Schizosaccharomyces pombe: one gene and its partner. Changing the gene in region 2 together with the main gene of any one other region gives a genetic interaction. Each region holds a gene or a part of one and is shown on either strand. Other genes may lie near its edges. The genes, in order: alp31 and nap1.

What was found.
Region 1: mutations in nap1 (region 2) and alp31 together harm fitness more than expected from each alone (negative genetic interaction), as found in Schizosaccharomyces pombe (2 studies listed by BioGRID).

What each region holds. Positions count from the first base shown.
Region 1 is NC_003424.3:3,375,305-3,378,822, reverse strand, and holds alp31 (tubulin-specific chaperone cofactor A Alp31), read right to left. Parts: upstream 1,718-3,518; 5' UTR 1,676-1,717; coding exon 1,607-1,675; intron 1,544-1,606; coding exon 1,457-1,543; intron 1,305-1,456; coding exon 1,101-1,304; 3' UTR 923-1,100; coding exon of another isoform or gene 865-922; 3' UTR 820-864; coding exon of another isoform or gene 802-819; 3' UTR 755-801; downstream 1-754. Other genes in the region: SPOM_SPAC8E11.05C (uncharacterized protein), read right to left, coding at 1-551; SPOM_SPAC8E11.06 (uncharacterized protein), read left to right, coding at 729-754, 802-819, 865-922; SPOM_SPAC8E11.08C (uncharacterized protein), read right to left, coding at 3,005-3,307. UniProt on the Schizosaccharomyces pombe protein: Required for the maintenance of microtubule structures and cell polarity. Beta-tubulin-folding protein; may have a regulatory role in the tubulin-folding pathway.
Region 2 is NC_003421.2:472,901-477,786, forward strand, and holds nap1 (histone H2A-H2B chaperone Nap1), read right to left. Parts: upstream 2,762-4,886; 5' UTR 2,672-2,761; coding exon 1,490-2,671; 3' UTR 698-1,489; downstream 1-697. Other genes in the region: GTPase regulator Vps3, read right to left, coding at 3,146-4,886.

The DNA of each region.
Region 1 (3,518 bases), on a different chromosome or scaffold from region 2:
ATCAGTTTTTGCCAAAGAGACAATATACGATCCGGATCCAAGGAGGATTCTTCAATTGTTTTCGGAGTTTCAGGTAGTCCAAATACAGAATTGACAGCATCTTGGAAATCATCTTGCCAATCACCCATAAATGTACAGATGGGGATATCATGTTCAAATTCACCAAAATCGTCAAATTCGTCAAACTCTTCTTCCTCTTCAACTTTTTTCTCCATTTCATTGTCTACAATGCCTGATTGGGAAATACTAGCTTCTCTATTAATACTAAGACTCTCCGCCCAAACAGTTGATGTAGCGTCAAGGTCAAGTTTAGATGCTTCAACGACTTTTTGGTTTTTAGAATCGTAATCCTCTACAGGATTTAAATCATCTTCTTCAAGAAGGTGTGGATCTATTTTTGTATCAGCTCCCTCTTCGCCATCTACATCTTCCTTCAACGATGAAGATGCAGAAGGGTCAATATTTACTTCAGAGTTGCCGCCGTCAGATTTCTTCTCTTCTTCTAAACCCAACACAGGTGATTCCCTTGATAATATTGGCGGACTTGCCATAGGTATACAAATGGAACGTTTTATGCTCCCAATCTGTTTAATGTTCACGCGAAGTGTTTCTTTCTCTTTGCTCAGATGGTAAGTAACGTCAAACAATGAGCTGTACAATCTAACATAGTGATACGCTACATTACACTCACAATAAAAGTGCAAATAAATACTAGAGGACGACTGTCTATGCTGCTTGTTAGCAGGAACATTTGGTTGTTTTAAAATTGTTTGATTGTCCAGCTAAAATTTAAATCTCTAGTAGAATAAAGGGGAATACGTATGTTTTTTTATGTGAACAGTTTCACCTAACTGGCAAAATTAGAATAGATTGGCGAAATCTTAAAAAAGATTTAAGCATGACTTGGATAATCCTTAAGTAGTTGGGATTGTCTATTATTTTAATGGATTGGAATAAAAATCGAAGACACAGTACAGTTGAGTAGGATAGCATTGAAAGGGTGGGTAAAGAATGATGAACGTAGAACCTTTTCATGATCGTCTTTTGAAGGGTCAGTAATAAATTTTAGCAGGGATCTACAAAAGCTAGTAAATGTGTATTCAGTGGTACCCATTCGTGGGGAAATTCGTTTGCTCTTTTTCAATTACTTCTTTTGCTTTTTCTAAATATTCATTTGCTTGTTCAAGTTCAGGAGTTCCTTCGTATGCACTGTCAGAAGAAATGGATTCCAAGTCGTTCGTCGCATTACGAAGACGTACAAGAGCATCTGGCAACGCCTCAAGATGCTTCTTCAAAACAAATTTCTAGAGGTCCAGAATGTCAGTACTTTGATTATTTTTTATTTTAAAAAAGATACGCTAAAGCGGAAACCACCGAAAAGTATCTTCAGCTTGGTAGAAACATCTTCTAGCACAACACGTCCAACGTTTATATGGTTTCAACTAATGCAACATACCTGATGCTCAATTTCTGCAGAATCTTCCCCATTATCAATTTTACTTTGTACACGTTTCTCGGCCTCGTTAATATCGATATGAGCCAACTAAACAATTGTTGAGGTCAGAAAATTCCATCTACAAAATCGCGATCCAAAAAGGAAACTTACTTCTACATCTTTAATAATTCTTTTAACGACATTAGTTTTGATGACTAAGCTCCTAACAGTATTTGACATGGTAGAAAATAAAATGGACGCGATATGCAAAGGAATAATGTTAGGTTGGATGATTTTCCTTGACTGCAGTGTAGGTAACGTTGGAATACAAAGGAATGCTAATGTTAGCGTGTGGTGATAAGTTACGAGAAACGATTAAGAAAAGCTAGTTCTAGTTAAGTTTTCAATTTCTTTTAAAGCCCTTTCCTTAAATTCCTAAAAAAGGGTATTTGATTAAATGTTTGCATCAAGTATCAGACTAGTTATTGATCGACAAACGTTTCATTCCTATATTATGTATGAGATAAAATTGCTCAGTTATTTCTAAATTTACGATTCACCGATACTTGTACCAAAAATTTCATGCTTTTATGGATGCTCAATCATATGGGAGGTTGAGCTTTTCGGGATTCAGCTATATGAAAATTTTCTAGCGCGTAATTCATTATATTTAGACGTAATTGCTTTTACAAATATTTTCCAAAACAAAAATTTCTGATTCTCCGTACACACAGTTATCTCCCAACAACCGAAATTGTTAAAAGCACGATTTCATATAAGGATAGGTTGATTGCTAATCACTCGAACCACAGTCTGTTAATAATTAGTCAACTTTGCCTAGCCAAAAAAATTCAGCTTCTATCTTAATCCTTGGAAAACAAAAAATAAAAAAAGGACCTAATACCCTCTTTCAAAGTAGATCCTGTACAAGATATTTAGTCTACTCAAAAAGCCGGTACAACGATATTAATGTCAACAGACTTCGGTATAATGGGACCAGTCTTCAATGTGAGGATAATAGCTAAAATCCTTTACTCTATATAGGACTTTAAATGGATCCTTGAATATTATTCTGTTTTCTAAAATGATTGATCATATTCTACGCCACAGATGCATCAAAAATTCAAATCATCGCTTGGGAGATAAAAGAGTGAACGCTTTTTCATAATCGAACAGCAACCTTTCGAACCCTAGTAGTCATTAGTATTTTAATCCACTTTTTTTTTTGCAAAGCTATGAAAAACAAAGACTGCAACCTGGTATAAGCATTTTAAACATATCGTACTTTGCGTGATCTAACAAATTAATCTCTATCTTGTCAGTTCACAACTTTGGACAGATACAGATGATGAATTTCGACAATTAAACATTTGCAAACAAGTCAAAGCTCAACATACAAGCATTCACTGTTTAACGCTTTTTGAACTTTCTCATTTCCTGAAACGTTTGTTTACAAGCTGATATAAAAAAAGGGATTGAATTGAACGGCTCAGTTGATATAGATTAATTTAAAAAGTGAACTCCGTTTAGAAAGTATCGCATAAGTTAAAAAATGGTATTCAAACAAAGCTAACAAAAACGAAACAAATCGCATTTTCCCATGAAAAATACAAGGTTGTTCGGAAAACTGCATATTTGAACATGATGACAGCCAAGAAGAAAAATAGAAGGATTTATTAGAATTCCCTTAAACTTTTCATTATAGTCTTTTCGGTACGGTAACAACCATATATACAATCTATACATTTCTTCAGACCATTCAAATCTTAAAATGGAGCTCCCCTTCAATTGAAGAAACGGAAAATTTTTTCTTGTCAAATTTTTACAGACTACTAACCTACTAAACAGAACCTCATTAGTGGTAAAGTCCATTTTAATACTTCTTGCTTATTAATTCATTATTTTATTGCCGTAAAACATAAATTATCCTTTTATTTTCTTCTTCTTTTCTTCCCTTGTATAATACTCATTTTTCGCCAAGTCTCAAGTATTCCAGTGTTCGATTCCGACCATGGAAACGATCTCGGTCGGGTAAAATGAAGACTCTGGTAGTCTCCAGGCTATTGCATCTCGTTCAGATTTG
Region 2 (4,886 bases):
TAGCTGGATTTTATTTCTTTGTACCTTTGATAGATCATTTGTAGAATCCATTTTATTAAAACTTACGAGGAAAAATAATAAATCAAACAAATCTGATATATCACATGAGCTTAGTTAAATTTGAATTGACTTTCAGTGTTTTGAGTCCACCAAATTGCTGCAACAATATTATACAACTAAACGCATTCCATCAAATTGGACGCTGTTTTATTTAGGACCTTTGCATTATATACTAAAAACATTCTTAAGTTGCAAATGAATATAAAGAATTTTCAATATAAAAATTGCCAAAAATTTTCGACACCAGCAGGATTTGAACCTGCGCGCGGAGACCGCAACAGATTTCTAGTCTGTCCCTTTAACCACTCAGGCATAGTGTCTAAGTCGAAAATTATAAAAGCTATAATATATTTAAGGCAAGTATTAAAATTAAAATATTAGATGTTGTAAGAGATATGTCAAATATGCTTTAAATTTAGACTAAGATAAATTGTAGTATGCAATCCTCCATCCCAATTGTAATCATCTCCATTATTTGATGATTCTAACTTTAAAAAACAAAACTGGTATCTGTTAAACGCTAGACGAACTTACTATAACAACCGAACACTCTTTTACAATGCGCTCCGCATTTTTTTAGTTTCCTTCTTACTCCAAGAATTGCAAGCTTCTTTATGTCTAAAAAAACGAAAAAAAAACAAATCGTATTTTTGATAAACTTTGACACTCATTTCTTTCGAAATAGCCTTTTATGTAAACACATCGGGTTTAGTTATACCTTCCCAACTTCTTGGGTAGAGTAGACTAACTAGGATGCAACCCATTCATACTATGAATTCTCAATTGCTTACTTCTAAGTCAAAACAAAGCATTATTTTCTAGAAAAGCTCGTAAAAAGGGTTCTCTTTTTTAAGCTTTACTAAAGGTCAATTTTTACAGTCAGTGTTTTCAACTTGGTCTAAACTAACAATAAAAAACTATCACTAGTTCTTTTCGCAAGCATTTGATTGAAAAAAAAGGCAAGAAAATATTAAAACGTCCAAGTTTGTCCGAGCGTTTTCATCATGATTGATCAAATATAAGCATTCCAAAATCTTTAAAGGCTTTCGTACTCAAACTAGAAACTCGGAAAATTCGCCAAGAACGATCACACCTCCCATTATGTAGACGATGTCGTTTAGGTCTTTTAAAGCCATTCATCTCAAAACCACCAATTCCAGTAAAAAATAAAACACGTCGACTGTAAGCATTTTTATTTGATAAACGAAAAAAACTCGATAAATTGGAAGATATTTAAAAACTTTATAAACTTGCAGAATCTCGTCCGCAAGCACTCACATGTGGTCCGAACCTATCCTGTACAACAAAAGGTTTACAAATGTTGCATGAAAACCTCAAGAATCATACTTTTCAAGTATCTTTCCTTTAGTCAAAACACAGAAAACCCATTGTTATTAACCCCATAATATATGCACATTATCGAAATTGTTTATTGCTGACGGCACTCAGCAGCGTTTTGCTGGCCATGAGCAGTGTGCTTGCTATCACTGTCCTCCTCATCGGAATCGGAAACTTCTTCGTTAGAAGAGGATTCAACATCATCTTCATCCTCTTCAACATCTAAGTCGCTGAATCCGTCATAGTTTTCAAGAGCTAAAGCCTCACCAGTAAACCACTCAACGGCACGAGGAATGAGTTTCTCTTTGAAGTCCTCACCGATTTGATAGTCAAGTTCCAACAATTCATCCAATTCAGGGCTCTCCGATTCTTCGTCTTCCTCAGATGGAGGAGTTGGGGGATTAAAAAAGTTGAAGAAACTGTCACGAGGAACGGAAACCTTTACGACACGAGTTTGTTTAGTGTTTTTATTGCGTTGCTTTTTAGTAACGGTACGAACAGTCAAATCGGCATTTTCTTTCCAATCAACCTTATCGCCCTCAGCATGATCATACAAGAAAACGTTGGACGGGCCAGATTCCTCCATGTAATAATAAGTTTTGGTGAGAATCTTGTTAGTAAAGAATGGGTTTTCAGCAAATTCAAATTCTAATTTGAAACCAGGCTTTTCCATATAGGAAATGCGAATATCCACAAGGTGACTTAAAGCTCCTTCATCTTCGGGAGTAATCATTTCAGACAAAGACAAAACATTCTTCATAGCGGTCAACCAGAACTCAGGAATACCCTTAGTATCATCACCACCTTCTTGTTTCTTAGACTCAGAAGAAGTAGGTTCTTTCTTTTCGTTCTCATCGGCAGCTTCACCCTTCTTAATTTCCTCCTCGGTAGGTTCGTCAGCGCCACGAACAACCTCAGATCTTCTCTTAAAAATAGGTGCGTACTTCTTTGCATAAGCTTTTTCCAACTCAAACAGCTCTTTTTGGAATTGAGACTCCAAGTCGCTGTATCGCTTTTGCAAACCACGAAGTCCAGAAATCCTTCTTTGCACGGCTTCAGGCAATTCTGAAACTCCTTCTGAAGTGAGATGTAATAAAGAACCCAATTTTCCGTCGATAGCCTCTAAATTCTCATCTCCTTCGTCAATAGTATTTACTTGAGGAGCCTTCGCACCAAAGTTGGGAGCGCTCGTCCCCGATGGGGTGTTATGGGGAGTTGGGGCGGCAGACATTTTTCCGGCCCTTTTGTTATTAATATTAACGTTCTCTACCATATTAATTCTACTTGTTCCAGCAATCAATTATGCTTCAGACGCTTTCCGTACGTCCTTTTAATAACACTGGGAAGGGTAGTGGTAGAAGCTAAGTGTAAGAATATTTGCTGCACCCTGGGAATCTACCTACCCGCGGAACTTCCGAGCTCATCCTCGGGGTTTCCGACCTTAGTGAACAGTGCATCGTTGTGTTACGGACACTTTCTTTATTCCCGAAGGGGGTTTTTAAAAATAAAATTCGATGAATTTAGGCTCATAGTTAATATTATTTATATTTTTAAGACTAGTAAAGATCAGGAAGAGCTGAATTAACTGTAGAAGAAAGCCCTTTATATTCTAACAACATTTTGAAGCTAGAATCTTTTTGTCTCATTGAAATTATTCTATCATTAAATTAAACATCAGTCGAATAAGTATCGAAAATTGAGGTAAAAACTTTGCTGAACCAAAGGTTACTTTTTAAATGTTACTGGGTTAAATTTCGTTTTTGCCCAAGGCTACATTACGACGATTAATAGCCATGAACAACTCTTCCAAATTTTGAGACAACGACTTCTCAAGTGTTAAACGAGTTTGGGATTCATTCAAACGCTCAGCATTTCTTTTTTGCAATATACACAAAAAATCTGCTAATAAGTTAAGATTCCAATGATCTGGAATTTGCTCGCACACGTAGGAAAGCGTATAAGAAAAGGGTCGACGATACAATAGTTCTTTAATAAAATCACTACATCCATCTCCTGTTGATATACATTTTTCGAGCAAATTGCACCAACACTGAGGATAAACATCATCAATTTGAAGACAGTATGCTTCACCGCCCTTATAGTCATGAATATTCGTAACCAAAACGGATAAAGCTTTTTCATAATTCTTCTTCCTTTTGTAAAACGAGTGTTCAAGTTGAGGAAATAGATATAAATTGTCAACATGAATGTCGAACAAAATATCTTTTATTTTATCTATAGATTCTTCTTCAACATTTTCCATCAGATTAATAGAACACAAATAGTAAAATGAAAGATGAGTACTGAAATCACTCATGTCCCCCCAAAGTTGTTCCAAGTATTGGGCATACGTAGGTTTCTCCATGCAAGGAAGCTCCCTAAATGTTTCAATGGCAGTCTCAAGGCGATTTTTAAAATCGTTATGATCCAATAAACTGCCAAGCAACTTATTAACGCACAACTTTAAAAGTAGCGCTCGATGAGTGACGGAATTCGACTTTACAAGGTAATCAATCAAAACATCATCTTGAGAAGAATCCAAATGCTCTAACACGTCCTCTGCAGAAATGGATCCACTAACTGTTTTGTCAAGCAAAACGCGCGTACCCTCCGTTGCATCGTGTTTACAAAGCCATGTAGTAAATTCCCAGAATGTCGAAGGCTCAATATCATTAACCAAATATTCTCGTATTTTAATTAACCCATCGTTGAATCTCCGATCTTCATAATCCCCTGTTATTAATTTCTTCCAAGTTTGAAGAACACCATCGTGATCCCTTACAGTAGCCAATAACACGGAGAGTAAATAATACTCTTTCTTCTGTATCAACACATCTTTTATATCTTCAACACCAGTTAGACCAGACTCTAACAACTCCTTAGCATTTTTGGTACCGGCGGCTAAATCATCCATATTTAAATAAAGGAGTAATAACGAATGCTCTACAGCAAGCATCACGTCTCTTTGCGAAGATAAAAGATACTCAGATATGCTCGTGTTCTTTTTGTAATTTTTCAGATAACGCATCAACATGATGTATGCGTTTTCCTTAGTAATTTCAATCATTTGTCTCTGAGTGTATTGATCAGTATCACGAAACAATTCATTAGATTTTAAAACATTAGCAACAGTATCATCGACGGACAATATGCTTTTGCGAAAACTAATGACACCTTGAAAAGCAATATAGGAAAGCTCCGAATGATAGAGATCTGGATAGAGGGAGATAACTACGCGAGGATCAATTTTGGAAGTTTCAAGCAAAGAGAGAGAATTTTCATACTGTCCTTGCTTCCAATACTGTAATGCCGAGATTTGCTCCAAATAAGCAGATTGAAGATAAGCGACATCATTGGTTATTCCATACTTCTTCGGATTCCGCAATCGCTTACTCACTCGACGCAGAGGGGCTTCAATATCGCCTATGGTAATACTGAATTCTAGTTTGTTCATAAAATGAGCTTCAGCGCCAAACCCCCAAGATTTA